Linked DNA regions of Caenorhabditis elegans. The protein of the gene in region 1 purifies or fractionates together with the protein of each later gene. This does not show direct contact. Each region holds a gene or a part of one and is shown on either strand. Other genes may lie near its edges.

Region 1 (7,264 bases):
ATTTCGCTTTGACCCCTCCGTTATTTAACTGTCATTGTTTAACAGGTAATGAGAAAAGTGTTTATGAAGGTGAAAAATTGTTGGCAAAGTATTTGACAAAAATATACATCATACGGTTTTAATAAATTATGAATGATTTTTAAACCCTTTTGATTGAAAAGTAACTAGTTGAGCATTGTATGATCTTCGAAGATATTCCTTCGTTGCTCCTCGACCTTCTTCATCCAACGATTCTGTTCGGCCTCGACGCGTCCGAGAACATCTGAAGAAAATACTTTTTTAGTAAAAACTATAAAATCTTCAAATGGAGCACTTACTACTTCTCGCACGTGTGGTTCCTTGTGTATCCATTGAATTACTTGCTGAAGATGATTCATCGTCAGTTGATGGAGCAGCAGCAAAGATATTATCCTCCATTTCATCATTATGTTGTTGATAACTGATCGATAATCGTTTCTTCCGGAGCATTGGATCCAGGCACATAAGGAATACCATGTATCCCGTTAAAACAGCGATCACACAGATTACAAATATTACAACTACTTTTAAGAGCACAGTGTTTCGTGACTCATAACGGCAGTCGCAATTTGCAAGAAATGCATCCATATGGGTCTCGTCAACGAAGTTACTGACTTGATCTTTCACAATGTTGCTTGGCTTGCTGAAATGTTTGAAAAATTATATTTCTTTGTCGAATTTAAGGTTTATTTGTGTAAATGATGAATTTGAGCTGTTGAAAAAAATTAAAAAAATAAGTGTTGAAAATGTTTTAAAACTGATCAACATGTTTTTTTGATGAAATGGAAGGAAAATAAAGACTTAGAAATTCGAGATTTCATGGTTATGATTTATTTTTATTCGAATTTTTACAACGATGTAGATTCTCAGCAATAGAAAATAAAAATAATTGTTTTTCTAAATCATATTTGTGGTTTTCTGAAAGAGAAAAAATTAAAACTGTGACTAAAGTTCCCACAAAAATTTCTCAAATTTTAACGTTTATAAAACAGTCGGAAACGTTCAAATTTCGATGAAAAAAAGAAATTCAAATTTGCAATTGCTTTGAGCGAAATAATACCATAAAGGTGGGAGAATTTCATAACTCTGCCAAGTTATTTTTGATGTGGATTTTTAGCAAAAAATATCAGAGTGACTAGGAGATATTTACATATTCGGATTTGATATTTTATATTTTCTATTAAAACAATTCAGATTTAAAATTAAAAAAACTCACCAATGGCTCGGTTCGATGTTAGTTTTTGTATAAAATCGTCTCCTCAATCCTTCTGTTTTTTCAGTTGTATTTTCAGCCAAGTCGAGAAATTTTAAAAGACTCGGACAAATGCATCGACATCGTGTATCTTCGAAGTTAGCCTGAAAATATTTATTAAATTATATCTTTATAAAAGTAGTTATGAAACAAACCTCAGTCCCTGCTTGGGATAATGCGGGAAGAAACAGTAAAGCAATAAATAAATATATCATTAAATCTGAAAAAATTACGGAAGTTGGACTGTATTTTTTTTTATTTTTGCAAGAAAATAAAAAATGCTCTGAAAAATAGAATACAAGTAAAACAAGAAGTGCGCCAGTGCAACTTACTGGCGCTTTTCGCGATGGCTGACGCATTCTTCGTTTCACTTTTATGATGTTCACAACGAAAATCGAAGAAATAAAAACTTGCACTTATTTTTGTCTTAAATTTCAATTTTTCTTCTGCTTGTTGAGTAATTTTTCAGTTCTCAGTCTAAATTACTTGCTAATTATCTTCATTTCAGTCTGCATGAATACTAATAATCGATTTTTCGCATTTTTTTTGCAATTTCTATCCGGTATTTGTCTTTTTTAATTCATTCGTTACTATTTTCAGTCATGTCAAAAGGTTTTGCTTTCAAACCGTCTGCTTTAGCTGCCAAGGCAGATAAACTGTGGTCAGATAGTAAGTTTTCAATTTTGTGTTATGTTATCTAAGTCACGTGAATTTGCAGGCAAAACAGAATACACAGCAACTCATTCAACAATCAACCACGTTCATTTGGAAAAGAAATCGCTGGGCGATATTATTCCGAAATCAGCAGATGCGCCTGTTGCAAATGAAAAAGTTCGTTGAAACACAATGAGTCAAAAAATTCGTTTTCTTCTAATTATAGGAAGTCGAAGAGGCTCCACAAGCATTTGTTTTTGGCTCCAAAATATCAGATCGTGTTGTGAACAAAGAAGGTGATTCAACAAAGCCGGGTGGTTCAGACGAAAAGACCATGACAGCAACTGAGCTCTTCCAAAATGCAGTTAAAAAAGATGACGATGTAATCTATATTTCGAATCAATATTTCTATTCATAATGTTAATTTCAGAAAAATGGAGCCAAAAACTTCAGAAAGGAAGCTGAACAAGAAGCGGAGAGAGCAAAGGAAGCCGAAAAGCAGCATGCCGGAACGAGTTCAGTCGAAATCACCACCGGGGAAGAGAACGATACTAATATTTTCCAAGTGAGGCAGTATTCATTAAAACATAATTTTTATTTATTTGTCTTTAGGCTCCTTGCAAAATTTGGGCGTTTGATAAATTGAAAAATGCCTACTCTGAAAAGGGTGTCTGCAATCTCAGGATCAACAAACGAGTCGAGAACGGACTGACGCACCACCGAATTGGTAAATACTGATAGTTAGAGTTTATTGTATTCAAAATTATTTTCAGTGGCAAGAACATCTTCCGGTACTCTTCGTGTCATCATAAATTCCAAAATTTTCTCTGATATGCTTTTGGAGCGGGTCGACAAGAGAATTCGAGTGAGCTTTAATGTTATATGAATATATGTTTTATTGTTACTGTTTACAGATTTCCGCAATGGGACCAGAGATCAGCGGTGTTCAGATTTTCCTTCTAAAAATCGGATTCACCAAAACTGAGACGATCCCCGATTCGGATATATTCTACAATATTATGAGCGACCTGCTGAAATTGGAGAAGGGAGAGAATAGTCGGAAGAGGAAAGCGGATTGTGATCTGAACGCTTCAACTGTTAAAATCAAGGATGGAAAGGAAGAAGAAGAAGGTGATCAAGATCAAGTTGATGAAGGATTTGTCATTGTAAACAAGCCAACAGAAGATGAGGTGAAAGAAGAAAAACCAGCTGTTACAGCTGCCGAAGAATCTGCATCCAGCTCAACTCCTTCCGAATAACCATATCAGTCATTGCTTCTTTCAACTTCCCCTGTGCTCTTTTTTCTCCTTCCAATCCCCACAAAAATGGTCTCCAACTTTCACCCAACTCAAATCATTTCCCCTTAAGTCTAATTTCTTTATTGCTAAAAATTTCTTCTAGATTTCTACCAATCTGGCCTAACTTTCCAATTTCGTTTTATTCTTATATATCCCGTTTTATGTGTTTGTCGAATATATTTGGTTTGTGAAAAAGAGAAGAGTTTGCAATAAAAAGCAGAAATACAATCAAGAAGACACTTAGACAATGGCGTTTCGGTTATCAGTGGCGCTCTTACTGAAGGAGGAGGAGAGCGAGATAACGATCGTTGTGGGGTGATCGATTCAGAATTCAATTGGCAACACCATGATCATTTATCACCTTGTCAATTCTGTAGCATTGTTTCAGTAGGAGAAGATTTTTTTGTAGTTAAATATCAATTTTGAGTATAACAAACGCGATTTTTGCACCTAAAATACGGTAGCCGGTCTCGTCACGACAATTTTTAATACTTAAAAAAAAATTGTATCAATTTATTTATAAACTCTAAAATAACACCGAAACACTTCAATTTTTATAAATCTAGAGGAAAAATCGATTCCGCATCAATGAGAGTTTGAAGTTACAGTACTCCTTAAAGGTGCACACACCTTCTTGCATTTAATAAAAAGTTGTCGCGTTGAGACCCGGTACCGGTTTTTTGGCGTCTTTGTAATAAACCCCTTTGAATTTAGTTTTGAAGTTTAAACTTTGAAGTTCAAAGTTTGAAATTATCCCATAATATCTAACCACGCGTCGGGCGTTTAATATCATAAAATCAAAAGTCGAATTTTTTTTATCTTATCAACAATTGGAGTACACGTGTACCCACGATATTTCTCGATTTGTACTATTTTAAATATTTTTTCTCGGAATAAATTCTCTTTGCCTGCCATTTCTACATTCTTGTTTCATTTCATTTTACTACTCGTGAATCTAGAACCTTCACTCATCTCCAAAATGGTTCTCCTTGGACGAGGATTACTTGCCGTCGGGCGTGTTGCTTTTCGACGTCCGATGATTGTACGACACCTTCAATATGATGCTTTTGTTGATAGACATATTGGACCAAGACGATTGGAGCAGCAACAAATGCTCGATTTTATTGGATACAAAGTTCGTGGCTTGATTTTCCATTACTAATGGTATACACAGTTATTACGCAGCTGCAGAAGTTTACGATTTTTTACGCTGACATACGGTCTCGTCACGATCGGAAGTTTTTCTACCGTATCCGCGAGTATTTCGCAATTTTATAATGATCCGAATATTTTCAGGTTTTTGATTGAAAACACGTTAAAATCGAGCAAAACTTTAATTACTTCAGAAAAACTTTGCTAAATACTTTTTGATACGGTAGCTAAAAAGTTTCGACCATGTCGAGACCGGGGACCATATGTCCCGCAAAAATAATTTGCGATGTTGGCATTGTATCTCCTATTTTGTTTAATGCATTTTCTGAAGTTAGAAACGCCTGAGAATTCTGTCTCATAATAACCTTGAAATTACAGGATCTAGATGATCTCACCGGAACCAATGTGCCAAATATGATCAAAGCAGAGAAGGCTCTAGAGCTTCCAGCACCACTTGACGAATACAAGATGCTCAAAGAGTTGGAAGCAATTGCAGCACAGAACAAGATTTATAGATCTTATATTGGAATGGGATATTATGATACAATTGTGCCAGCTGTCATTTCTCGTAATATCCTTCAAAATATTGGATGGATCTCCCAGTATACTCCATACCAAGCAGAAATCTCACAGGGAAGACTTGAGTCTCTTTTAAACTTCCAGACTATGGTAAGGCATGGTTTGATGCCTATGAGTCTAATATATTATGTTTGAAGATTGCTGAAATGACTGGTCTCCCAACAACCAATGCATCTCTTTTGGATGAAGCCACAGCTTCTGCAGAAGCAGTTGCACTGGCTGCTAGAACTACAAAGAGAAACAAAATTGTCGTTGACTCATTCTGTCATCCACAAAATCTTGATGTAATCAGAACTCGTAGTGGACCACTTGGAATAGATATTGAAGTTTCTGATTCAATTGAAGGATATGCGTTTGATGATAAAGTAGCTGCTGTAGTTGTTCAATATCCGAATACTGAAGGAAGAATTCATCAATTCGACGAGTTGATCGAAAGTGCTCACAAGAATAAGTCATTGGTGATAATGGTGTGCGACTTGCTCTCGTTAACGATTCTCCGATCACCAGGAGATCTTGGTGCAGATATTGCTGTTGGATCGGCTCAACGATTTGGAGTTCCATTGGGTTATGGAGGACCACACGCTGGATTTATGGCTGTCGCTAAGCATGATGCGAAGAATGCATTGGGAAGAAATATTCCAGGAAGAATCATTGGAGTTACTAAGTAAGTGGTAACCAATTTCTGGGATCAACCTATCACCAAGACTTCACATTTAAACTTTTCTTTTTTCAGGGATGCAAATGGAAATCGTGCTCTTCGCCTGGCTCTTCAAACCCGTGAGCAACACATTCGTCGTGATAAGGCAACCAGTAACATTTGTACTGCTCAAGCTCTTCTTGCTAATATGTCAGCTATGTACGCAGTCTATCATGGTCCACAAAGACTCACTGAAATTGCCAGAGGAGTTCACAAATCAACTGCATATCTTGCTTACCGTAAGTTACTATGTAAGTTACTATATTCATTAAATCTTTAATTTAGATCTTCGAAATGCTGGTCACGAAATTGTACACAAGGACTACTTTGATACTTTGAAAATCCGTCTGAAGGATAAAGCCGCTCTTGAAGAAACGAAAAAGAGAGCCGAGGAAATGAAGATGAACTTCCGTTATTATGAAGATGGAGATATCGGAGTTTCATTGGATGAGACTGTTAAATCTGAAGATCTTATGGATATCATCTACACATTGAATGGAGCCACAGAAAAGGATGTGGTTAGTTTTTGACTCGAGATGTAGAAGAAAGACTATCACATTTATATGTTTAGACCAAGCTTCGTGAAGAACGTTGGGAAGTTGCATGCCCATTAATTGGAAACTCACCACATTCTAGATCATCACTATTCCTTCAACATCCGGTATTTAATACTCATCAGAGTGAACAACAGCTTGTTCGATATATGAAACGATTGGAAAATAAGGATGTTTCTCTTGTTCATTCGATGATTCCTCTTGGCAGCTGTACCATGAAGCTTAACGCATCTGCTGAACTTATTGTTTGTTACTTTACATGTTGGCCTTGAAATTTATAACTATCATTAAGCCTATCACCTGGCCAACTCTATCATCTATTCATCCATTTGCTCCTGTAGAGCAGGCCAAGGGATATAGTCGTATCTTTGGAGATCTTGAGAAGTGGCTTTGTGAAATCACTGGATACGATAACTTCAGCTTGCAACCAAACTCTGGAGCCAATGGAGAATATGCTGGACTTCTTGCCATTCGGAATTATTTGATTCACAAGGGAGAGGAGCAGAGAAATGTAAGAAGAAATAAAAAGTTTGTTAAAAACTTTCAGTATTATTTTAGATTTGTCTCATTCCAACGTCTGCACATGGAACTAATCCAGCATCTGCTCAAATGGCTAATATGAAGGTTGTTGTCGTGGACTCAGATCATCACGGAAACATCAACTACAAGGATCTGGCAGCTAAAGCTGAGAAGTACTCAAATCAATTGGCAGCTATTATGGTCACTTATCCATCGACTCATGGAGTATTTGAGTCATCGATTCGTGATGTTTGTGACAAAGTTCATGAGCATGGTGGACAAGTTTATCTTGATGGAGCCAATATGAATGCTCAAGTTGGATTGTGTCGTCCAGGAGACTACGGGAGTGATGTGTCGCATTTGAACCTTCACAAGACATTCTGTATTCCACACGGAGGAGGTGGTCCAGGTGTTGGACCAATTGGAGTGTAAGTTTGAAAAAATGTGAAAATTTGCAATGTTTTATTATAGTAAAAAACATCTTGCTCCATTCCTTCCTGGTCATTCAGTTGTGCCAGTTGATGGACGTAAAGTTGGATCA
Region 2 (7,363 bases), on another chromosome or scaffold:
TTGAAAATGGAAGACCTTGTGTCGATTTACGCTGCTCGTGTACTCCCCGAGGAGAAGTGTTCATTTGTTTTCTGCAGGGAAAAATCGTTAACAAAAACTTATTAATTTTCGATTTTCATCAGTTAAACACTAAATTGAAAGCTTACGAATGGCGAAAATTATCTGAAATTAAGAGATCAAGCCGAAAACTGAAGTTTAAACTGTTATATTCCGTTCCAAAACAGTTCTCCTCGGGGAGTACACGAGCTGCGTAAATCTACACATGCCGAGGTAGAGATTTCACGGCTATTCTCCCATTTCCAAGTATGAGCCCAACTACATCTAAAAATTAATGTTCAGGTCCGCGTTGTCATTGACATTTGGAACCAACAATATCTGGAGCTCGGCCCGAAATACGAATGGGTTCAAATCTTCGAAAATCGTGGAGCAGTTGTCGGATGTTCGAATATGCATCCACATGGGCAACTGTGGGCGTCAAATTATCTTCCGACGCTGCCAATGAAGAAGCATGAGAGTCAAAAGGTCTCGCCACGAACTTGAAGTTCGAAAACCGAAGCTGCGCCTTTAAGAAGTACAGTAACCTCACTTCTTTGCAGTTTTACTTGAATTTCATATTTCCAATGTAGTTTTGAAACAAAATATGACACTTACAATTTTAAAAATCGTAAATAGTAAAATCTAAGAAAATTTCGGAATGGGTTACTGTACTTCTAAAAAAAACGTACATAATTTTTTGCGGGGCATTTCAAAAACCGGTAGAATAAATTAATATATTTCAGAAACATTTCGAAAAGCACGGGAAGGTTATGCTGATGGACTATCTGGAGCAGGAAACTCTAAAAAAGGAACGAATAATCATGAGAAATGAGCACTGGACTTGGCTCGTACCGTACTGGGCATTCTGGCCGTATGAGACAATGCTTCTACCAAATCGACACGTGGAACGATTCACTGATTTGGGAGAGGTTCGTAAATTTGAAATTATAATTTAAAAATGGCAAAAATTCCGCTATTCCAGGTTGAAAAGCAATCACTCTCTGAAATTCTTCGTTCTCTACTCATCAAGTACGACAATGTCTTTGAATGCTCATTTCCCTACATGATGGGATGGTCTGGAGCCCCAACTGGCTCTTTTCTGACTGAAAATTGCTCATTTTGGCAGCTCCACTTGTCATTCTTCCCGCCACTTCTTCGTTCGGCGACTGTTCCGAAATTCCTTGCTGGATATGAAGTTTTTGCTGAAAAACAACGGGATCTTTCGCCGGAGATTGCTGCAAAAACGCTGAGCGAGATCGATGAAGAGCATTATTCAAAGAAATTGCAATAAATTTATTAACAACTTTAGTTAACAAGAACAAAACAATCGAATAAACATTTGAAAAAAAACAATTAACTCTCTCTAATAAACCTGGCTTGCACAAAAATCCGCGGAGCTTTCAGGCCTTTTTGATGATTAACCGTCATTCTATGTAGATACTCCTTCCGAACACATCGAAATCCAGATTTTTCAAAAACCTCCGAAAGCTCATTCAAATCAAAATAATAAGCTCTGGTGCCGTCTTGTCGAACATAAAATCGATCGGAAATTCTTGCTTCCCGGCCGAAACGAATCATAGCGTGATCATTGATACCGTAATCCCGGACTACAACAGAGCCTCCAATCTGGAACAAAAATTCCAATTTTATGTTGCTGGAAATTAAAAAAGCACTCACTTTTATCATTTTTCTTACATTTTCCGCTGAAATTTGATGTTTTTCGGGATGAATCGCGGATAGCACAAAAATAAGTGTAGCAAGATCAACTTGCTCTTCGAATGGAGATGAAACTGAAGGAATTGACAAATCCACGACAGATGTTGCTACGGAAAGCTGAAAATTTAATTTTAAACGTTTCATATCAGAGTTTTTTGCACATACTTCAAGCTCTTTTGCGCGTTCCTCCAACAATTTCACCGCGTTGTCCGAAAAATCGAATGCAAAAAGTTTCAGATTTGGAATTTCAGCGACTAATGGGAAAAGCATATTGCCGACGCCACATCCAGCTTCCAGATAGGAGATTTCTTTCTTAAATGAAAATTAAAAATTTTTCAGTGCAATTTCAGAATTAAAACCTCGAAATCTATGTCTGGGCACATCATTTTCAGATCTTCTGCACTCCAATTCCGATCCTTGAAGAAATTGTTTTTATTTCGATGATAGAATTTGTCCCAATTTTTTCGAGCGTCAATTTCCAGTTTATTTCGCTTGAAATCGCTTATACTCGTCTGAAAATTCATTTTTAAGCGTTTTTAAAAATACAGTTTTAGTTAAATACCTGTTTTGCCAGCTTTTCATGGTCATCTTCTGTTAATTCCCTTGAACTTTGACTTGAAAGAAAGCCCCCATCATCTGACATGTTTTCTGGAAAATTTTAAGCTTACACTAGTGTGGAAAAAGCAAGGAAAAAAGAAAAAAAAGAGGAAATTATGAAAAAAAAACAAAAAAAAATTAAAGTACAAAATTTCAACGACGCTCCGATCTCCCGCTATGTTTTGCGCGGAAGTTTAAATCACAGTTTCCAATTTAAATCTGAATTCAACAATTAAAAGCGACTAAATAGACATTTTCGTTCAAAATAAATATTTAAGCAAACATTCTTGAGCAATGTTCATAAAATATTGATCTTGTCGCTTCAATGTCCCCTCGAAACAACCCAATTTGCTACAGGCAAACTATAAGTGACTACAAAAGAATAGAACAATAGATCATCATCATCTTTTAATGAATGATATTTTGAACTTGCCTACGTGACAATTTACAATCTCATCGATGAACCCTCAAAGAAAACATTCTTATCATATCACTAATTGTCATCATTTTCATTTCGTCAGCCAGACCATGCCGAGTTCATTTTTGCCTTTGATGACTTGTTGGTCGCTATATAAAAAGAATACATTTTTTAGTATTTGTAACATCCCATAGCTTTTTTTCTTGGTTTCATACTTTTTTAAAACATCTGTGCAGACAGTATTTTCAGCTGCATAGGTGGCCAGGTGGGCTTTTTATTTGTGGCCGCGAAAATGGAAAGCTCGGCCACGAAGCAAATTTAGCTGAAAAATATCCTTCTTTTCAAACCCTATGCTCCTTTTTTCAGATTCAAAATGCCAAAAATTGCAATTGTTCAAGCGGGGACCCCACTATTTGATAAACCAGCAACTCTGGAAAAAGTTAAGAAAAATGTGGAAGAAGCAGCTGGAAATGGAGCTGAACTAGTGCTCTTTCCTGAAGCTTTTATTGGTGGATATCCAAAATGGAACAGCTTTGGAATCACAATGGGCACACGAACTCCAGAAGGAAGGAAAGAGTTTAAAAGGTGGGATGACCAAACTTTGAAATCACATACAACTCGAGTGTCTTTTGTTTTATCACAAAATTGTCAACTGACAAAATATGTGCCATTTCTTTTTCTACATTTTTTTGATGTCTTCACAATCGGCCGAGGCATAACTTTTCTGTTATAGATACTTCGAAAACGCCATCGAAGAGAACGGCGAGGAATCGAAGCTCATCGAATCTCTAGCAGCTCAGAATAATATCCATATTGTAATCGGAGTAGTTGAACGAGAAGCTTCAACCTTATACTGCTCTGTATTCTTTTACTCACCCTCCGGTTACCTTGGAAAGCACCGAAAACTCTTGCCAACTGCTCTAGAAAGATGTGTTTGGGGACAAGGTGATGGTTCAACAATGCCTGTGTTTAGTACAAGTGTTGGAAAAATTGGAAGTGCCATTTGCTGGGAGAATTATATGCCATTATATCGAATGACGCTTTACAGTAAAGGTTAGTAAATTTAATTTAACACCTAAATTCAAGAAATAATTAATTTCAGAAATCCAAATCTATCTAGCTCCAACTGTCGACGATAGAGATGTCTGGCTCTCTACCATGAGGACTATTGCATTAGAAGGAAGGTTAGTAAAGACCCTTGACTTCAAATTGCCTAGCCACATATTTTGAAACCTCTCGATCCAAAATTTTGAGATCTTTGACTCTAAATTTCGAGTCCCTTGGCCCAAATTTTAGAATACTTTATCTCAAACTTGATGGGTCTTCACCTCCAATTTTGGAACCCCAGACCGTTTTCGGCCCCTGACCGTTCAAACTTCGAATTCTCCCAAATATTTTCTTCCAGATGCTTCGTAGTATCTGCATGTCAATTCCTCAAATCCTCCGACTATCCCTTGGATCACCCACTTCGAAAAGAACACGGTGAAGATAAAGTCTTGATTCGCGGTGGATCATGCGCAGTTGATCCACTTGGAACTGTGCTCGTGGAGCCAGATTTCACAAAAGAAACGATTCGCTACACGGAATTCGATCTTTCTGATTTAGCTCTTGGAAAAATGGATTTAGACGTCGTCGGACACTACAGTAGGCCGGATGTATTCCAGTTGAAGGTCAATGAGAATTCACAGAGTACAGTAGTTAAGAAGTGAATTTAATTTCAAAATTTATTGTTCTAGTCTTGGAGGTGTGACTTCAAGGTCCAATGAATTTACAAATAAAACAATTTTTGTGTGAATTTTTTTTGTGTCGATCGCAATAAAAGGGGGAAAGCAGAAAATGATTAAGCGATGACGTGGCAGGGGAAGGAAAAATCGATCGATTCGATGAAGAAGAAGAGGACAAAAGTTGGAGGAAAATTCATTAATAATAACGAGACCAGCTAGCGGTTGAGCTTGTATAGTTGTGTGGGCGATAGCTGTTGAAGTGACGAAGACCACTGTTTCCATAACATGACCAGTACCATGGGGCAGCTCTGTAACGGACTCTATGCATCATTATCTACGTGCAAAAAATACTCACGTGGTTCCGAGATACTTGTTACTGTACATGTAGGAGCTCAAACTTTTCGGGCGGCTGGTGATGTCATAATGTGTTTCATTGGCAAGATAGGAATAGCCGGAGTATCTGAAACAATTTGAAAATTTTAGATACAGGTATAAATGGAATTCTTACCCTCGTCTGGTTGTTATCGGTCGACTTTCAGCGGTCAACTGCGGAGGCGTGTAGCTGGGTGTTAATCCATAATTCCTATCAAATGAATATGGCCGTCTGTAGTCTCCCTCTCGTCCGTACACATATCTGAAATGAAAAATCAAACAATTTTTGCATTTTAATGTGCTCTGTGGTTCTTGCCCAATAAAAAAGAATATCCTAGCTTCTTTTTTTATTTCTTCGATTGACATTTTGACGCCTTGAACTCTAGATGTTACACTAGAAAAGAGAAGATGCAGAACATTTTTTTGAACAGAAAATCTTCTAGAGATGTAAAGTTTGTCAAAAACATTTCGGAACAACAGGAACAGAAAAGCAGCATTTGACCCGCAAAAAAAACCCCAACGACTTACTTATAAATAGGATAACTCCAGGTTCTCAATCCATAAACATCATATTTCCTGAATGGTTCGTTTTCCGATCGATAATGAATGTTTGTGTGATATGGAGCTGTTACGGTTGCCAATGGAGTTCTTGAACGATGCAAATTTCCGTCGTTCACATTGTTGACGGCGGAAATTTCACGAACTGGAGTGTAACTGCGACGGACATGAGAAGCGTATCTCTTCTCATTGTCAACTGGTGTGTTCTCTCTGGACCATCTTGACAGGTATTTTTCCCTGAAAAATAAAGTTTAGTTTTATAACTTCCGCTCTTGATTATTTTACAAAGCAAAAACTTCCACACATATTCAAAAAAATATTTCGAAGAAATTCCAAAACATACCTAGAAATCGAGCTGAGATCGACAGATCTGCTACGGTTGAAGCGATAATTGTTGTATTCTGGCATAGTTTCCAAACTTTCTTCGAGTTCTTCTTCGGTTAGTCTGAAAATTTTTTAAAATTTAATTTGGTCCTCCAGCTTCTCCACTTGTTACTTACCTCTCAACGCACGGCGCTGCTGCAAGTCCTAACGTGTACTTTCTGGCCAACTTCTCCCACGATTGTCCACGGGAGTCGTCAAGAAGCCGTTTTGCAGCGGCTAGTGCGTTTGCTCTGGAAATTCGAAAATTTAGGAGTTTTTAACAATATAGTTAACAATATAAAAATAGAGTTAAAGTTTCGGAAATTAATCACTAAAGTTTTGAGGAAGTTCATACATTTTTGTGAAGCAGTAGCAAGCCTCATATCTCGGCTATTTCAAAATATAGCGAAAATGTTCTAGTTAGAAAATTTAGAAAACAAAGAAAACAAATATTACGTACGTATCAGTATCAGTTGAATATCAGTTGAAACTTTTTTGATAAAGTAAAAGGCAACTGAGATAAAATTTGTTAATATTATGTTCTCGGCCGAAGCTTTTCACGGTCCGTTTTTTGTTAAATGAAAAAAAAATTTCCAAAATTAAGAATAATCAATTTTTAAAATTTTTTAAAGATTTCGTTTTGACCACTACAGTCAATCAGAATGCCGTATACACTCTATTCCCCTCAGGCTGTACAAGTTTTATCAAAAAATTTTCAACTTATAACATAAGTGCCACATATTTTTGTTCCTTAGTTGAACATTTTATGATAAAACCAATGATAACCGAGATATAAGCTGCCGCAGTATAGAAAAGGTAATTCAAGACCCACAGGAAAAATAAAGTATACTTTTGCTTCAGATACTTTTCACAAAAATATAATTTTTAGCTTCAATAAATTATTAAATACCTAGTTGGTTCGGAATGAAACCGATGTCCCGGAGGGTTCTTTTCCTCCGGTAGTAGAGGTAACAACGGACCATCTTCAAATATTGGGTCAAGTTTTACAGACGAAGCAACCATATGTTTTAGATAGTTTTGCGAAGTTATTGATTATCAGTTTATCAGAAGGGAATATATTGATAGCAAGATTTTTTTCGAGTTGGTGACAAAGTAACTTTTGTGATGCAACTGATGGGATAAGAAGGGGGATAAGATGAACGAAAACCTCTACAAATAGAGAATGTCTTTCTCTCTCTTAATCTATTGTTTGAACACAAAAATAGTGGATAAATTGTAGAGTTTTTGGATGCGGGGGGTCATTGTTGGTGAGGTGTACTCTTTTGCAACACAATAATTTCGAATTTGAAAGAAAAAATATGTTGTATCAATTTCGTGTAGGTGGTGGGAGAAATGAGGAAGTTGATGACTGATCAGCTTTGGTATTGAGTAATTTTTCCGATTAACTTTGAAACAAAATATGTAGGATCACAGTTAACCGGGATCACTTTTTGAATGCGAAATTATGATTTGACAAGCTTGAAAAGTAGCAGAAGCTTCAAACAAAGAGTATTGCCTATTTCCTGGAATTTTGAAATTTTCAGCAATGCCGTCAAGGAACAATACATTCCACCCGGTC
Region 3 (8,651 bases), on another chromosome or scaffold:
TACAAGCAATTTACTATTAGAAATGAATACTGTAAAATATTGAAGAAAAGCTTCGAAAACATTCGCATATTACGGAAACACAACATTCTGAGAATGCGTATTGCGCAATATGTTTGACGCGCAAAATAGCTCGTAGCGAAAACTACAGTAATTCTTTAAATGACTACTGTAGTTTTCGCTGCGAGATAATTTGCGCGTCAAGTATGTTGTGCAATACGCATTCTCAGAATATTGTGTTTCCGTAAAACATTATTCTTTTGGAAAGAACTTTTGAAATTCACAATAGGTTCTAAACAGGCAAAAAAAGGCGGGAAACGATTTTTTCCGGATTTTTTTTACAATAAATTGCCCATTTTTGCCCCTTTTAATAGTTTTTGATGGTTTAAACCTAAATTTTTGAATTCTCCATAAATGAATTACCCGTTTTCAACAAATTTTGACCTTTTATAAAAATATTTTTGACAATTTTTTCAGCCATCTTGGGCAAAAAAAATTGGGCAAAAATTTGGGCAAAAAATGTTTTTTTTAATGTTCCAAACAACTAGAAATTGAAAAAAGTAAATTTTTAAAGGTTTTGAAGTAATTTTTTGAGTCCTCTTACTACAAAATTAACCATTTTAGAGGAGTTTCAAGATTGTAAATTTTTGCAATAAAGTGCTCATTTTTGCCACTTTTTGATAGTTTTTGATGGGTTAAACCTAGATTTTTTGAATGCAGCATATATGAATTAGCCGTTTTCAACAAATTTAGACAACTTTTTATTTTTGCCCAATTTGTTTTCTGTCCTTTTTTTTGGGCAAAAATTTTTTTTTAATGTTCGAAATCACTAGAAATTGAAAAAGGGCAATTTTTTATGTTTCGGAGTAATTTTTTGAGTCCTCTAACTTCAAAATTAACCATTTTAGAGGAGTTTCAAAATTGTGATTTTTTACAAAAATCGCCCATTTTTGCCACTTTTTAAAATTTTTTGACGGGTTAAACCTAGATTTTCTGAATTCAGCATATATGAATTACCTATTTTCAACAAATTTAGACAACTTTTTATTTTTGCCCAATTTTTTTGTTCCAGTTTTCGCAACAATTTACCAAACCTTAAAATTTGTTATCAAAAGTGATAATTGTTGCGGTTTTCTTTTGATCTCTTATCACTGTTCATATTATTTCCCATACTTTATTATTCTGTTTTTTTTTTAATTTTAAATTTCATATTTCCATGAAAAATCATTCATTATTCAATCTACACCTATCTGAATGTTCGGTCGTTTTCGCAAATATGCCACGTATCGATTGATTTCTCTATTCTACGTGTATGTGATGGCTCTTTACTCATTGCAAGTTGATGATGACCTCGATGATAAGGATAAGGATAATTAATTTCGAAAAAAAAAAGTTTTCTTTTTTTGAATAAAGCTAATTTTTTACTTTTTTATGAATCAGTACTAAAAAAAATCTGGAAAATTATGGCCCAAATCAAGAAATTTCCAAAAATTAACGTCTCCGGAAACTTGTTTCTCTTGTTAGGCTCCGCCCATTTTTTAGGCCAAAATTTGAATAAAAAATTGTCAAAAAAAATTTGCCGCGAAGATCATTATTTATATATTAAAAAATATTATGAATTGATACTGGTATAGGGTTAGTATGGGGATATGGTCAGTGTACTGTAGTAGTACTGTAGGGGTACTGTATGAGTACTGTAGGATTACTGTAGTTTTGGAAAAATTGACTTTTTGTCTTTTGAAGAGATATTGGTTTGAGGTTAGTAGGGGGTATAGCCGGGGTACTGTAGTAGTACTGTAGGGGGTGCTGTAGGAGTACTGTAGTTTAAGAAAAAATTTAGTTTTTTTTTTTCAAATTCAAATTTAATGGGAAAATTTTTTGGTGGGAATTAAAATCTTCTGTGATAAAATTTTGGCTGAAATTCAAATTTTCTGAGAAAAAAAACAACTTTTTTAGAAAAATCTGGAAACTTCTAGAATTTTCTAAAAATTGAATTATAATTTTTCAGACCAAACTGGCGACTAGAGTGGCGACTAGACTGAAAATTTTTCAGAGCGACTTTTTTGCAGCTCAAAGCTGTGCTCCCACTTGGTTTCAGTCCGTCAATACGGTTTGATCTACAAAAAATGCGGGAATTTTTTTGCCCAAAAAAATGTGACGTCACTCTTAACCATGCAAAATCAGTTGAGAACTCTGCGTCTCTTCTCCCGCATTTTTTGTAGATCTACGTAGATCAAACCGAAATGGGACACTCTGCCACTGATTTTTTTTGCACCAGGGGCCTATTTAGAATGGGGTTTTTTTTCAAACGAATTAGGTTTTATTTAGAAGTCTGGAACTTAGTTAAAATATATTTTATTTGGCCCTTGTAAGTTTAAGTTTTTCAGAATTTTCAGAACTTTTTGAAAGAATTTTGGCGCGCGAAACTTGAATGCTGTGGTTTTTCATGCTACGTGGCTGCAAAACTTCTATTGTCGCAGATAGAGTATACAATCAATGTCCTGGATCTATCTCGATTTCATTCGCATGTCTCTCTGCGGCTCTCATCTACCAATACTCTCTCACTTCTATCTGTTCGTTGCGATCTCTGCGCTGCCGTCCTTGACCGCGATATGTCATACAGAAACTGTATTCATTCTCGACTTTCTATTTTTTTTTGTTTTGGAGAATTTATGTTCATCTTAAAATTAATTTGGTTTTTGAACATATTGAGGAAACGGTTTTTTGAAAAATAATTTGCTTTTTTTAAAAATTTTTTTCCCAAAACACATTTTAAAAAATTAATTTTAAAAAATTTCTTTGACAAGCGACACGCGGTTCTGGCTTCCCTCATAAATTGAAATGGAAGAATTTGCCGAACTAGGCCAGGCCATATCCGGGGTAGATTTACGGCGCGTTGCGTGTCGCGTCGCGGCTTGATTTCAGTTGTAAAACTAAATGTATTCGTTCGTGTGGAGTGCACGACTTTCCCAGTCCGGCAGGCAATTGTCAATGGAGCGGGAAAAATTTAATGAGGAAGGCCAGAACCCCGTGAAGCGACACTCCGTTGCTAGGCGTTGCAGATTTTTTGTTAAACCTTCGAAATTTCAGTGAAAAATGACCGTTTTGATTACCGGCGGGATTTCAAAAATATCTACTCAACTTGCGGAGGCGGTGCTAAAAAACGGAAGAAATGTGGTTCTTCTGCACAATAATGAGGCGGTAAGTGGTGGCCTACAAAATTTTCGAAAATTAATTTTTAATTATCGAGTAGTATAGGATTTTCCAGCTGGCCGAGAAATCCTTGTAATGGCCTTAAAAGTTTAACGTTCCTATTCCGGCAATTGGTAATTTCGGCAAATTTGCCCAAATTTGTCCAAATTGCCGGAATTGCCGGAATTGCATTTTTAGGCTCCTAAATCTACAAAAAGTATGAAATTTTTATTTCCGGCAATTCTGGCGATTGCAGGTTCTCAAATTTTTCAGCAATCGGCAATTTTGGCAATTGCCGGTTTTTTGAATTTTCGGCAATTACCGAAATTGCCGAACAGCGAAAATGGTTCCCATTGAAAATGCTAGAGTGGCCTAGAAATTCTCAGGTGGCCGAGAAATTTCATGATGGCCTAATTATTTCAAATTTCTCTTCCAGATTCCAACAAATCTGATCAATAATCCATCGCTCACACTTATCAATTTATCATCAATCAACGAGGAAGCAATCAAAAATCTAATCGAAAATTACAAAATCCAAACAATTTTCGACGCATCTCTCACCACAACTGATGTGCTCTTGGAGCCAATTCAAGGAGCTAAGAAATTGATTCTGGTAAGGTTTTAGTAAACATGCTCTATTGGCAAACATTGGGTGTACTCCACGTGAAAATAGAGAAATTTCGAATTTCGTAAAGTCAGAAATTAAAAAAAAAATCCAGAAAACTCCTGGGAAGTCAGAAATTATCAGAAAATTTGGAATATTTTTTTGAAAAATAAAATAAAAATTCCAGAAGTCCACGTGGTGTCAGGCTGTCCCATCACGGTTTGATCTACAATAAATGCGGGATTTTTCCCCCAAAAATATGTGACGTCAGCACGTTCTAAACCATCTGCGTCTCTTCTCCCGCATTTTTTGTAGATCTACGTAGATCAAGCCAAAATGAGACACTCTGACACCACCTGAAAGTCCGAAATTTCTAGAAAATGTTGAATGCTTTAAAAAAAATCAGAAAATTCCAGAGGTTTCTTTAAAAAAAAGGTTGAGAAAAATTGAAAAATTTATATCTTTTCTAAAATTCTAAAAAAAATACAAAAAAATATTTTAAAAATAAATCAACATTTCCAAAAATCTTTGAACAATTTAGAAAATTCACGAAATTGCAGAAATTTTCAGAAATTTCAAATTTTTTTGAAAAATTTCCGTAAAAGCACGCGCGCTCAGTTGACAAACCCCTAGAATTAAAAAAAAATCAATATTTTTTTCAGGGAATCACGTCAATCCTCGATGCAATCCGTAAATCCGCATCCCCACCATCTCTGGTTCTCATTAGTGGTGACGAGGTGTACGGTAGGGCGAAGAATCGTGTCGAGACCCAACCTCTAGAGCCGGTCACATTCATCGGCTCAGCTCAAATGTCCGTTGAAGCAATGGCTCACAGCTATGCTGTCAGTTATCGTATTCCAATGGTCATCGGAAGGGTATCCGATGATTTATCGATTTCTGACGCGACACGTGGATTATTGGCAATTGAAAAGTTGGCACAAAGCCAAAAACCAGCGGAGGTCTACAATATTTCGGCTTCTTCAGCTGAAAAAATTCAGAAAGAAACGAATTGGAGCCCGTCTGGCTCTGTAAAGGAACAGGGACCCATCGAAGAAGTTTTTAAGCCAATTTTCTTAGTTTTCGGAGCTAATTCGGAACTGAAAACTCAATTTTTGGAGCTGCTAAAGCTGGAGGGACTGGTTTCCAAGGTTTGATCTCAAATTTTTGTATTACGGTAGCCACAAAAAAACACCATACTTTACGACAATTTGCAGAAAATATCTAAAAATTACGTCTTTTGTATTACGGTAGCCTCAAAAAAAAAAACACCATACTTTACGACAATTTGCTGCTCCAGGGGTAAAACTAAGCGGGAAATTCAAAAAAAGTGTCTAAAATTCGTTTCTAAATTTTTAAAACTCTCAAAAAGTCAAAACTTAACTAATTTCCAGGAATCCACAATCACAAATCTGCAAGAAGCCACTGATAAATCGGTTATCGATGAGATTAACACAATCAATCCATCCCATTTGGTTTATTTCGGAAATGAAACCGGTAAGTGACTTGGTGGCTGAAGACAGTGGCCGCAAAAAGTTTTTAGGCCATGAAATTATATTTTTTGGTCGGAAATGCTTTTCTTTTTACGCTAAAAAAATCAAAAATGCCAAAAAACAATTTTTTTTGGACTTAAAATTTGTCTCAAAATTCAATTTCACGAATCACGGGTTCTGGCCTTTCTCATTGAATTTTTCGCGCTCCATTGACAATCGCCCGCCGGAAAACGTGTGGGAAAGTCGTATACTCCACACGGACAAACACATTTAGTTTTACAACTAAAATCAAGCCGCGACGCGACACGAAACGCGCCGTAAATCTACCCCAGATATGGCCGAGCCAAAATGGCCTAGTTCGGCAAAAACTCTTCCATTTCAATTTATGAGGGAAGCCAGTGGCCGCAAAAAGTTTTTAGGCCACGAAAGAATCTTTTTGGTCGAAATTTATGTCAATTTATGCTTTAAAAAAATTCAAAAATGTCAAAAAAAAAATTTTTTTTGGACTTAAAATTTGTCTCAAAATTCAATCAAAGCTTTTTTCGCTAAAATATTTTTTCACCGAGAAAAAAATTCTGGGCCAAAAAAAAGCTTTTTATTTCAAATTCCAGACTCATTCGAAGGCGACTGCTTCACTCTCCGTACCAATATGGCGACTAATCTCTATTTTCCATGGCTTCTCGCAAGTATTGCCGAAAAGTTCTCCCTACACTTCACCCATTTTGGAAATACTTCTATGAGCCAAGAGTCTTCAGCTCTTGCCGTTAAAGGATACACTGGGAAAATGTTGGAATATTTCGAAAAAACGCTCATAATTGGACAGAAAATCGATAAAAACGTGCTGGAATCGATTAAGGCATGCAAGACTGGAGGACTTAATAATAATATTTAATTATTGAATTTTTGCAAATTATTTTTGAACTTAAAGCATTCCTTTTTCTGCGATTTTTTCAATCAATAAATTTTGAAATTAGTGTTGTACTGGCAAATTGGCAAAATGCCGGAATTGAAAATTTCAGGCAAATCGGCAAACCGGCAATTTGCCGAAATTGGAAATTTCTGGCAAATCGGCAACCCCGCAATTTGCCAGAATTGAAAATTTCCGGAAAATCGGCAAATCGGCAAACCAGCAATTTGCCGGAATTTAAAATTTTCAGCAAATCGGCAAACCGGCAATTTGCCGGAATTGAAAATTTCCGGAAAATCGACAAACCGGCAGATTGCCGGAATTTAAAATTTCCGGCAAATCGGCAAACCGGTGAATAGCCGCAATTTGAAATTTCCGGCAAATCGGCAAAACTGGCAAATTGCCGTAATTTAAAATTTCTGGCAAATTACCAGAATTGAAAATTTACGGCAAATTAACGGAATTGAAAATTTCTGCCAAATCGGCAAACCGGCAATTTACCGGAAATGAAAATTTCCGGCAAATCGACAACCCGGCAAATTGCCGAAAATGACAATTTCCGGCAAATCGGCAAACTGGCAATTTGCCGACTTTCCGAATTTGTGGACAAAAAAAATTGCCGAACGGGAATTGCCGGCCCCTGGTGTACTCTACGTTCAAAACAAATTTGTAATTTTTGTTAACATAAAATTTGAAATAAAAATCTTTATGCTTCGTTTTTATGGCGGCCGAGATTTTTATTCTATACGGGTTTTGTTGCAAAATATTGATTTTTATGACTTCGATTTTCATTTAATATTGATTTTTGTCGAAATATCGATTTCCCAAAATATCGATTTTTTAAAAAGCAACTTTTGTAATATATCGATTTTCGGCGCTTTTTAATTGAACATACGGTATTACTAGGGCTTCCATTCCTGCGCCGGCGAGGCGCCTTCGCCGACCAGCGAGACGCCTCAGTCATGTATAGTGCGGCGCGGAACCCCGAACGTGTCGGACGCTTCCAAATAACAGCGGCGATGGCCGGCCGGCGCGAGACGCACCGCCGCTCACCCATGGAAGCCCAAAGTCTTACAAAATATCTACACTGCTTTATTCACAAATTCATAGAAAACCGCGTTCAATTTCTCATCGGTTGCTGTCGTTTGCTGTTGCGCTCTATTGAACACTTCCATATCTCTCAACAATTCCATTTTGGCACGCTCCTCGTCGGCTTTTGTGAAATGGCGCTTCCGACGGAACAAGAGAATGTGCTTCTCCGGGTTATGAACCATGTAGTGCTCCCATCCAAGTGACTGAAAAGTATGAAAAATCAATAATTCGGCCACATTCAGAAATTTAATATTGATTTTTTTTCGTCGATTTTATGACTATCGGTTTTCTTGAAATATCGATTCTATCAACATATTAATGTTTATTTAAAACAAATTTTCATTAAAGGCAAATTGCCGGAATTGAAAATTTCGGGCAAATCGGTAAGCCGGCCAATTGCCGGAATTGAAAATTTCTGGCAAATCGGCAAACCGACACATAGCCGGAATTGAAAATTTCTGGCAAATCAAAAAACCGGCAAATTGCCGAAGTTTAAAATTTCTGGAAATCGGCAAATCGGCAAACTGCCGGAATTGAAAATTTCTGGCAAATTGCCGGAATTGAAAATTTCTGGCAAGTCGGCTAACCGGCAAATTGCCGGAATTGAAAGTTCCTGGCAAATCGGCAAATCGGCACATAGCCGGAATTGAAAATGTCTGGCAAATCGGCAAACCGGCACATAGCCGGAATTGAAAATGTCTGGCAAATCGGCAAACCGGCACATAGCCGGAATTGAAAATGTCTGGCAAATCGGCAAACCGGCACATAGCCGGAATTGAAAATTTCTGGAAAATCGGCAAACCGGCAATTTGCCGAACATGAGAATTTCCGGCAAATCAGCAAACCGGCAATTAAATTATCGGGCCGGCGTAAGGCCCACATTTCGCACCTCACTCGGCTGGGAGCCTTGCTTAATTTAATAAAAAATATTTTAAAATATTGGCTTTTTCAAAATATCAATTTTGTGAATTATCGATTTTTGGAAAAATCTATTTTTTTTAATTATCGATTTTTTTCCTAAAATCTTAACATATCACTTAATTGAAAATATACCTGTTGAACTCCAGCACGTCTCCATTCAGCCTCACTAAGAAGTCTTCCCTTTGGCACTTTTCTCGAGACGGCTTGCGGAAGAATGACGTGGCGATATTCGTATTCATCATCTTCGTAACGTGGCGAATAGTAGATATCTTCCATTTTTCAAAAACTCTTATTCTTCGATGTTAATTGTACGACAAGTAGGGAATGAATGATTGTTGAGGAGTTTTGGAAATGTTGTTGGAACAATTAGGAAGAGGGGGGGGGGCAAGGTTACGTGGACAATTCTTTTTTTTTAAATTCTGAAATGTTGTATTTATTTTACAAATCA
Region 4 (7,995 bases), on another chromosome or scaffold:
AATTCACTATTTTTGCTTGATTTTCTCTCGAAAATCCGAAATTTTTAGAAAAATTCCCAAAAAAAAAAAAAAGAAGTTTTCCAACTATTTTCGTCAAAAAATTGAATTTTTCTATTATTCCATCAAAATTCATCATAAAATTTAATTCTTTAGCTGAAAAAATCACAATTTTTCCAATATCTCCCATCAAAATGTGAAAATTTTCCGAAAAAAGGGCTTGTTTTCGCTTGAAATGCAATTTTTTTAAAGAAAAAACAAAATCTTCCAAAAAATTCAAAAACGGGAAATACAGTTTTTTAGCTGAAAAAATCACAATTTTTCCAACATCTCCCTTCAAAATTTGAAAATTTTCCTTTTTTTTTCCCCAATATTCGTAGAAAAATCACTATTTTTGCTTGATTTTCTCTCGAAAATCCAAAATTTCAGAAAAATCGCAAAAACATGAGGTTTTCCAACTATAGTTTTCATCCAAAAATCAGAAAATCACCTTTTTCCATCATTATTCCATCAAAATTCGTTAAACATAATTTTTTGTCGCGAAAGTTAAGATTTTTCCCAAAATCCCTGAGAAAAATCCGAAGTTTTCGAAAAATCGCAAAAAACCAAGTTTTCTAACTATGTTCATCCACCAAAAATCAGAAAATTCAACAAAAAAAGAACAAAAATCGTAAAAAAAAAATTTTTTAGCGCGAAAATTGAGTTTTTCCCCCCAAAATCTCTGGAAAAAATCACTATTTTTGTTTGATTTTCACTCGAAAATTCATCGTTTTTCAAAAAATTCGAAAATCCTAAAAAATTCAGATTTTCCCAGTTTTTCGCGAACATAAATGCAAAATTCTCTGAAAAATCACATTTTCACCAAGTTTTGTCTCAAAAATATCGAAATTTACAAGTTTTTTTAACTAGAAAAATGTCTGAAAATGTCATTTTTAAACATTATTCCTCCCATTGTTAATTTATTTTTTCTTGTTAATCATTTTCCTAAAAATGTTCGGTTTTTTACCACTCATTCCCCCCGTTTTTATGTGTAAACTTTGGTGTTTTTTTTTTAAAATAATTTTACCCCCAATTTTCCAGAAAAAGTCTCAAAAATTGAGATTTTCATATAAAAATCCGGTTTTTCCCGCAAATTTGCCCCCTAAAAATGCAATTTTCCTGGTTTTTGCTTCTTTAAAATCATTATCCTGCTGTGTTTTTTGTCTTTTTCGTTTTTGTGGTATTAAATTTGAATTTCTGGTGTTATTTTTTATTGAATTTGATCTTTTTTTTGGTTAATTTTACCCTATTTTATCTCATTTTTCTCTAGGGTTTCGAATATTGATCTTAAATCAAAATCACCAATTTTTGGCGGATTTCTTGTTTTTTTTTGTTGAGAAATTGAATTTTATTTGAAATTTTCAGGCTTTTCTAATATAAAATTCCCGAAATTTTCAGAGAAAAACCTCAAAAAATTTACTAAACCTTTCGTAATTTTCAGAAAAAAAGTTCACAAAAAATTTTGAAAATTTTCTGGAAATTTCAGATTTATCTCAAAAATTCACAAAAAAATATGAATATGAAATAATTTCTTAAAAATTGGAAATAAATTACAATTTCGTTGAAAATTGCCATGATTTCAGTAAAATTTCAGGCTAATTCACAAAAAATTCGAATTCTGTAAATTTCAACCTAGAAATTCAAACAAAAAAAACTCAGAATAATTTCAGAAAATTCCAGATAATCTGAGAAATTGCCATGTAAAATTGCCGAAAATTGTAGAAAAAAATCGCAAAAAATTGGCAAAAATTTCGGAAAAATCTTTTAAAAAAACCTTGAATATTTCAAGAAAAAATCGCAAAAATCTGAAAAAATTGGCAAAAATTTCGGAAAAATATTCTGAAAAATTCCAAAAACCCTCGAATATTTTACGAAAAAAATTCTTAAAAAATCCGGAAAATTCCCGCAATTTTCAGAATAATCTTTTTTTTTCGGAAACCGCAGAAAATTCTTTAAAAAAAGCTCAAAATTTCTGAAAAATCTTTTTTAAAAAACCTTGAATATTTCACAAAAAAAATCGCAAAAAATCTGAAAAAATTGGCAAAAAAATCCAAACCAAATTTTTGCAGAAGGAAAAATAATGAAAAAGTGAATTGATATTTTTGGGAATTATTAAAAAACCTGAAAATTTTCCAAAAAACGCTATTTAAAATTGCCGAAAATTTCAGAAATGTTTTTTTGAAAAATTCAAAAACTCGAAAAATTGGCAAAAAAAGGGAAAAAAATTTATAAACTTCTCGAACATTTCTGAAAAGTCTAAAAAAATCCCCAAAAAATTTGAAAAATTGTGAAAATTTCAAAAAAATCTGAAAATTTCCAGAAAATTCACGAAAACAATCTGAAAATTTTTCGACATTTTTAGAATAAACTAGAACCGCCCAAAAATTCGAAAACAATTTTTTAATAATTCTAAATAATCTCAAACCAAACAAAAAAAATCTGAAAAATTTTCGAAATCTTTTTGAAAATTAAAAAAAAAATCCCAAAAATTCTGTAAATTCCCTGAGAAATTTCCGAAATTTTTTTTGTAAAAATTGTCCTGTAAAATTCTCGAAAATTTCTGAAAAATCAAAAAATAAACTTTGAATATTTCACAAAAAAAATTCCCGAAAATTGGCAAAAATTTCTGAAAAATATTCGAAAAAATGCAGTAAAATGCTCGAAAGTTCCAATTATTTCTAAAAATATTTTTGCAGAAGGAATTACAATTTCCTTTTAAAAAAAAGAAACAGAAAAATTCTTTTAAAAATCTGAAAAAAAACGAAAATTTCTGAAAAAAAAATCCAAAAACCCTCGAGTATTTCACGAAAAATATCCCAAAAATTCGAACAAAAATCAGTAAAATTCCCGCAATTTTCAGAATAATCTTTTTTTTCAGAAACTACAGAAAATTCTTTTAAAAAAAGCTCAAAATTTCTGAAAAATCTTTTTTAAAAAACCTTGAATATTTCACAAAAAAAATCGCAAAAAATCTGTAAAAATTGGCTAAAATTTCATTAAAATATTCTGAAAAAATCCATAAAAACCTCGAATATTTTACGAAAAAAAATCCTTAAAATCTGAAAAATTGGAGAACACTTCAAAAAAAAATTCAAAAAATTGGCAAAAAATAGAAATTTTTGTGAAGGAATGGTTTCAACAGGAATTTAAAAATTGTTTTTCAGAGTCTTTTTTTCAAAAATTTCTTTTTTTTTCCTATAGTGAAATATTCAAAGTTTATTTTTTGATTTTTCAGAAATTTTCGAGAATTTTATAGATTTTTTTCTGAAATTTAATATTTTTTCGACAATTTTCTGGGGGTTCTTTTTGAAAAGATTTTACAATTTTTTGCCAACTTTTTGAGTTTTTGGATTTTTTCAGAATTTTTTTTCTGAAATTTCCGGCAATTTTACAGGACAATTTTTACAAAAAAAATTTCGGAAATTTCTCAGGGAATTTACAGAATTTTTGGGATTTTTTTCCAAAATTTATTCTCAATAGAAATTACTAACAAAACCCGAAAATTTGCAATTTTTCTCAAAATTTCAGGGTTCAACGTTCGCCGCTAGAAAAAAACGCGCCAAAAACGATGGTTCACAGTAGCCGCCGCAAGTTCAAGAGCAAGAATAAGGGCCATGAGCCGAGAGAAAATGTTTGGCGTGACGATCGTGATGCTCCAGGCAATCAGGGATATCGTATGGTGGAGAAGGAGAATGAAAAGTATTGGCAATATTATAAGGAGCAGAATGTCTTTCCATTGGAGCAATTTGACGAGTTTCGGGCGGCTCTTCAACGAGATTTGCCTGTTTCTTTCAGATTTCAGGGTTGTCATAAGTTCGTTTTTTTTGAAAATTGATTGGATGGACAAAAAATGTGTGAAAAAATTAATTTTCCACGGATTTTCAGTTAAAATTATGAATTTCAACGTAAAATTCACAAAATTTGGCCTAAAACGCTCCAATTTTGTGATTCTTTTTTTGCTCAAAAACAATTAGAAAAAAATTGATTTCCCACGAATTTTCAGAGAAAGAACTGAAAAATTTTCCAGACATTCTGATTTTTTTCAATTTTTTTGCTAAAAAAGTTCAAAAAATTTTTTACCGACATTGAATTGATGAAAAATTCAATTTTTTGCAAAAAAAAATGGACATTCTCGCTGAAATTTAATTAAAAATTTGAAAATTGACAAAAAATTCTAAATTTCTAAAAAAAATTACCGGAAAATTTGAAAAATTTTTGGAAAATTAACAAAAAAAAAATAAAATTTTTGCAAATTTCGCAGAAACTGCAAAAAATTCTAAATTTTCCCGGAAATTATCAGAAAATTTCAAATATTAGTGAAAAATTTGACGAAAATTATGAAATTATTAACGGAAATTTCGAAATTTTGCAGAAAGCTGATAAAAATTCAGATTTTTGTATAAACTCAACGAAAAATTCCAAATTTTTGCGGAAATTTAATTGAAAATTCAGAAAAAAACATATAAAGAGCAGAATGTCTTTCCATTGGAGCAATTTGCCTGTTTCTTTTAGATTTCAGGGTTGTCATAAGTTCGTTTTTTGAAAATTGATTGGATGGACAAAAAATCTGTGAAAAAATTAATTTTCCACGAATTTTCAGTTAAAATTATGAATTTCAACGTAAAATTCAAAAAATTTGGCCTAAAACGCTCCAATTTTGTGATTCTTTTTTTGCTCAAAAACAATTAGAAAAAAAATTGATTTTCGACGAATTTTTTGGAGGAAAAACTGAATTTTTAAGGTTTTTTAGCTCAAAATTTGGATATTTAAAAACCCAAAATTTGGATATTTTTGATTTAAACAAATTAAAATTCCATCTTTTCCTCTAAACATTTGGGGAAAACTGTAAAAAATCTGATTTTCCAAGGGTTTTAGTAAAAATTTTGCGAATAAACTGTTAGAAAATTCAAAATTTCAGTGGAAAAGTCAACGAAAATTTTAAAAAATTTCACAGAAAACTGTTGGAAAACTTAAAATTTAACGAAAAATCCAAAAACAAGATCTACCAAAAGAAGATCTACGTTTTCAGGATCTGGCACCGTGCCAACTGCGGTTTTCTCGATGAAAAACGTAACAACGATGCTCCGATGTTACGCGTCGCGTGTTGTTAAGCGTTTCTTCTAGAAGAAAATTTCAAAAAATATCTTTCTGAACGCTAAACAACACGCGACGCGTAACATCGGAGCATCGTTGTTACGTTTTTCATCGAGAAAACCGCAGTTGGCACGGTGCCAGATCCTGAAAACGTAGATCTTCTTTTCGTAGATCTCCTTCTCGTAGATCTTGTTTTCGTAGATCTTGTTTTTGAACAGATCTTCAAAACGTGGTGCCTCGAAAAATTAAAAAAATTTTGCAGAAAATTGACGAAAAATTCAAAATTTTAGAGGAAAATCAAAAAAAATCATTGAATTTTTCTGCCGAAATTTAATGAAAAATTCGAAATTTTTGAACACTATTTAACAAAAAATTCAAAAATTTTGCAAAGAAAAATAACGAAAAAATGTTAAAAATTTAGTAGAAAACTGACGAAATATTAACAATGTTTGCTGAAATTAAACTGAAAATTACAAAAATTTGCAGAAAACTAACGAAAAAAAAATGTTTGGTGAAAAATCAACGAGAATTCCAAATTTTTCCAAAAAATTAGCGAAAAATTTTAATATCATGCAGAAAACTGATGAAAAATTGAAAATTTTAGTGGAAAACTGACGGGAAATTCAGTGTTTTTTTGCCGAAATTTAACGAAAAAATTTAACAAAATTCAAAAATTTTGCAAAAAACTGATGGACAATTCAATTTTTTAGTGGTAAATTAACGAAAAAGTTTGAAAAATCTTGCAGAAAACTGACCAAATATAAAAAATTTTCGCTGAAATTTAATAAAAAATTTAAAAAATCAAAAGAAAATTGTCGAAAATTCAAAATGGTTCCTAAAAATTAACGAAAAATTCAATTTTTTCAAAAAAAAATTCTGAAAAAATCCAAAAAATCCTGAAAGCTCTGAAAAATAGGCAAAAATTTCATTTAAAAATTCCCCCAAAAAAATCTCAAAAATTCCGAAATTTTTGATGAAATTTTCAACTGAAAATTCAACAAAAAAAAACTTGTTTACAGAGACCGCGAGCAGCTGATCCATGAGATGGAAAATCGATTTTTCGGGAAAATCATGGAAGCCGGAGACACTGCTGTATGTGTTCCAAAAAGTCTTCCATGGTACAAAGAAGCCTATCAAACGCCAATGTCACGTACCGCTGTCCGAAGTCATCCGATCCTTGCACAACTTCACAATTTCCTTGTCACAGAGGCTGAACTCGGAAATTTGTCCCGACAGGAGGCGGTTTCAATGATTCCACCACTTCTTTTGGCTCCAACTTCTGAGCATTTTGTGCTTGATTTGTGTGCGGCTCCGGGAAGCAAGACCACACAACTTTTGGAAATGATTCATGAGAACGAGGAGAATCCGAGTACGAAAATCGCCGAAAAAATTCCAAAAAAAATTAGTGATTTTCAGAATAATCGAAAAAAAATTCTTGAAAATTTCTGAAAATTCGAAAAAAAAAATTTCGAAAAAAAATCAATAAAATTCTCGTAATTTTCATAAAAATCGGAAACCGCATTCCCGAAAATTAAAAAAAAAAGTACAAATCAACGAAATTTTTTCCAAAAAGTTTCAGAAAATCGCAAAAAAATTCATAAAATTTTCGAAAATTTCTGAAAAATTAGTGAAAATTTAAATTTCATTAAAAAAAAATCTTTAAAATTCCAGAAAATTCACGAAGACAATTTTTTAAAAATAATTCTAAACAATCTCACAAGACCAAACAGACCAAACAAAAAAATTAAAAAAAAGAAAATTTTTGAAAAAAATCCTAAAAACTAAAAAACATTTTGTAAATATGCCGAAAAGTTCATTTAAAAAATTCGAAAAAAAAATCCAAAACCCCTCGAATATTTCAGAAAATAATTCGAAAAAAAGCTCAAAAAATTGGCAAAAATATAGGCAAAGTTTCAAAGAAAAAATCAGTAAAATTCTCAAAATATTACACAAAAAAAGTCCCCAAAAACTCAAAAAAAATTGGCACACATTTTCATTAAAAATCCAAAAAAAAAAATCTAAAAACCCTCGAATATTTAACGAAAAATATCCTAAAAATTCGAAAAAATCAGTAAAATCTCTAATTTTCAGAATAATCTTTTTTTCAAAAAACCACAGAAAATTCTCGAGAAAAAGCTGAAAATTTCAAAAAATCAGCCAATTTTTTGCAAAGAAACGGAAAAAATCCAAAAAACTCATGGAAAATTCGAAAATAAAATCTCAAAAATGTTAGAAAAATCTCTACACATTTTTCGAAAATTTCTGAAATTTTTTTTAAAAACTCCCGAGAATTGCAAAAATTCCCAAAAAAAATCTAAAAAATTCCAGAAAACACGAAAAAATTTGAAAATGTTTTGAAATTTTCAGAATAATCTAAAACCGCTGAAAATTCTGAAACTATTTTTTTTTTAATTGAAAAAAAAATAAATTAAGTTTCACAAGACATTTTGAAAATTTTGGAAAAAATCCCAAAAATTCTGTAAATTTCAACTTAAAAATTAGAAAACAAGCTCAGAATATTTTCAAAAAATTCCAGAAATAATCTTATAAATTTTTCGAAAAATGTCTTGTAAAATTGCCAAAAATTTCTGAAAATAATTCTGAAAAATCCCAAAAATTGGCAAAATTTCTGAAAAATCTTTTAAAAAACCTTGAATATTTCACCAAAAATTCCCAAAACTCTACAAATTTGCAAAAATTTCAAAAAAAAAATTCAAAAACCCTCGAATTTGCAAAAATTTCACGAAAAAAAATTCCAAAAAATTCGAAAAAATCAGTAAAATTCCCGCAATTTTCAGAATAATCACTAAACAAAAACCACAGAAAATTCCTTTATAAAAAAAACTCAAACTTTCAAAATTTCTG

Evidence for each region.
Region 2: the proteins of ran-5 (region 1) and nit-1 fractionate together in Caenorhabditis elegans (co-fractionation; one large-scale study listed by BioGRID). This does not show direct contact.
Region 3: the proteins of ran-5 (region 1) and rml-5 fractionate together in Caenorhabditis elegans (co-fractionation; one large-scale study listed by BioGRID). This does not show direct contact.
Region 4: the proteins of ran-5 (region 1) and nsun-2 fractionate together in Caenorhabditis elegans (co-fractionation; one large-scale study listed by BioGRID). This does not show direct contact.

The regions. Positions count from the first base shown.
Region 1 is NC_003280.10:6,046,239-6,053,502, forward strand, and holds ran-5 (RanBD1 domain-containing protein), read left to right. Parts: upstream 1-1,870; 5' UTR 1,871-1,872; coding exon 1,873-1,939; intron 1,940-1,988; coding exon 1,989-2,101; intron 2,102-2,150; coding exon 2,151-2,306; intron 2,307-2,354; coding exon 2,355-2,489; intron 2,490-2,536; coding exon 2,537-2,651; intron 2,652-2,697; coding exon 2,698-2,789; intron 2,790-2,838; coding exon 2,839-3,183; 3' UTR 3,184-3,448; downstream 3,449-7,264. Other genes in the region: R12C12.6 (Transmembrane protein 9), read right to left, coding at 165-262, 318-661, 1,235-1,374, 1,426-1,629; gldc-1 (Glycine cleavage system P protein), read left to right, coding at 4,202-4,357, 4,753-5,043, 5,091-5,617, 5,687-5,889, 5,936-6,168, 6,222-6,449, 6,497-6,715, 6,763-7,151 and 1 more.
Region 2 is NC_003281.10:3,919,312-3,926,674, forward strand, and holds nit-1 (CN hydrolase domain-containing protein), read left to right. Parts: upstream 1-2,895; 5' UTR 2,896-2,915; intron 2,916-2,949; 5' UTR 2,950-3,032; intron 3,033-3,133; 5' UTR 3,134-3,140; coding exon 3,141-3,352; intron 3,353-3,500; coding exon 3,501-3,820; intron 3,821-3,869; coding exon 3,870-3,951; intron 3,952-4,172; coding exon 4,173-4,476; 3' UTR 4,477-4,562; downstream 4,563-7,363. Other genes in the region: ZK1058.3 (putative galactose-1-phosphate uridylyltransferase), read left to right, coding at 340-522, 780-965, 1,019-1,327; metl-6 (tRNA N(3)-methylcytidine methyltransferase), read right to left, coding at 1,390-1,662, 1,714-1,869, 1,918-2,064, 2,112-2,264, 2,315-2,395; ZK1058.9 (uncharacterized protein), read right to left, coding at 4,688-4,799, 4,847-4,951, 5,000-5,125, 5,392-5,658, 5,765-5,866, 5,922-6,035, 6,695-6,807.
Region 3 is NC_003279.8:1,790,167-1,798,817, forward strand, and holds rml-5 (NAD(P)-binding domain-containing protein), read left to right. Parts: upstream 1-3,087; 5' UTR 3,088-3,093; coding exon 3,094-3,198; intron 3,199-3,625; coding exon 3,626-3,802; intron 3,803-4,455; coding exon 4,456-4,941; intron 4,942-5,184; coding exon 5,185-5,287; intron 5,288-5,894; coding exon 5,895-6,175; 3' UTR 6,176-6,258; downstream 6,259-8,651. Other genes in the region: Y71G12B.27 (Cyclin-dependent kinases regulatory subunit), read right to left, coding at 7,273-7,485, 8,336-8,479.
Region 4 is NC_003279.8:1,189,594-1,197,588, forward strand, and holds the start of nsun-2 (tRNA (cytosine(34)-C(5))-methyltransferase), read left to right. Parts: upstream 1-3,564; 5' UTR 3,565-3,604; coding exon 3,605-3,849; intron 3,850-6,149; coding exon 6,150-6,499; intron 6,500-7,995.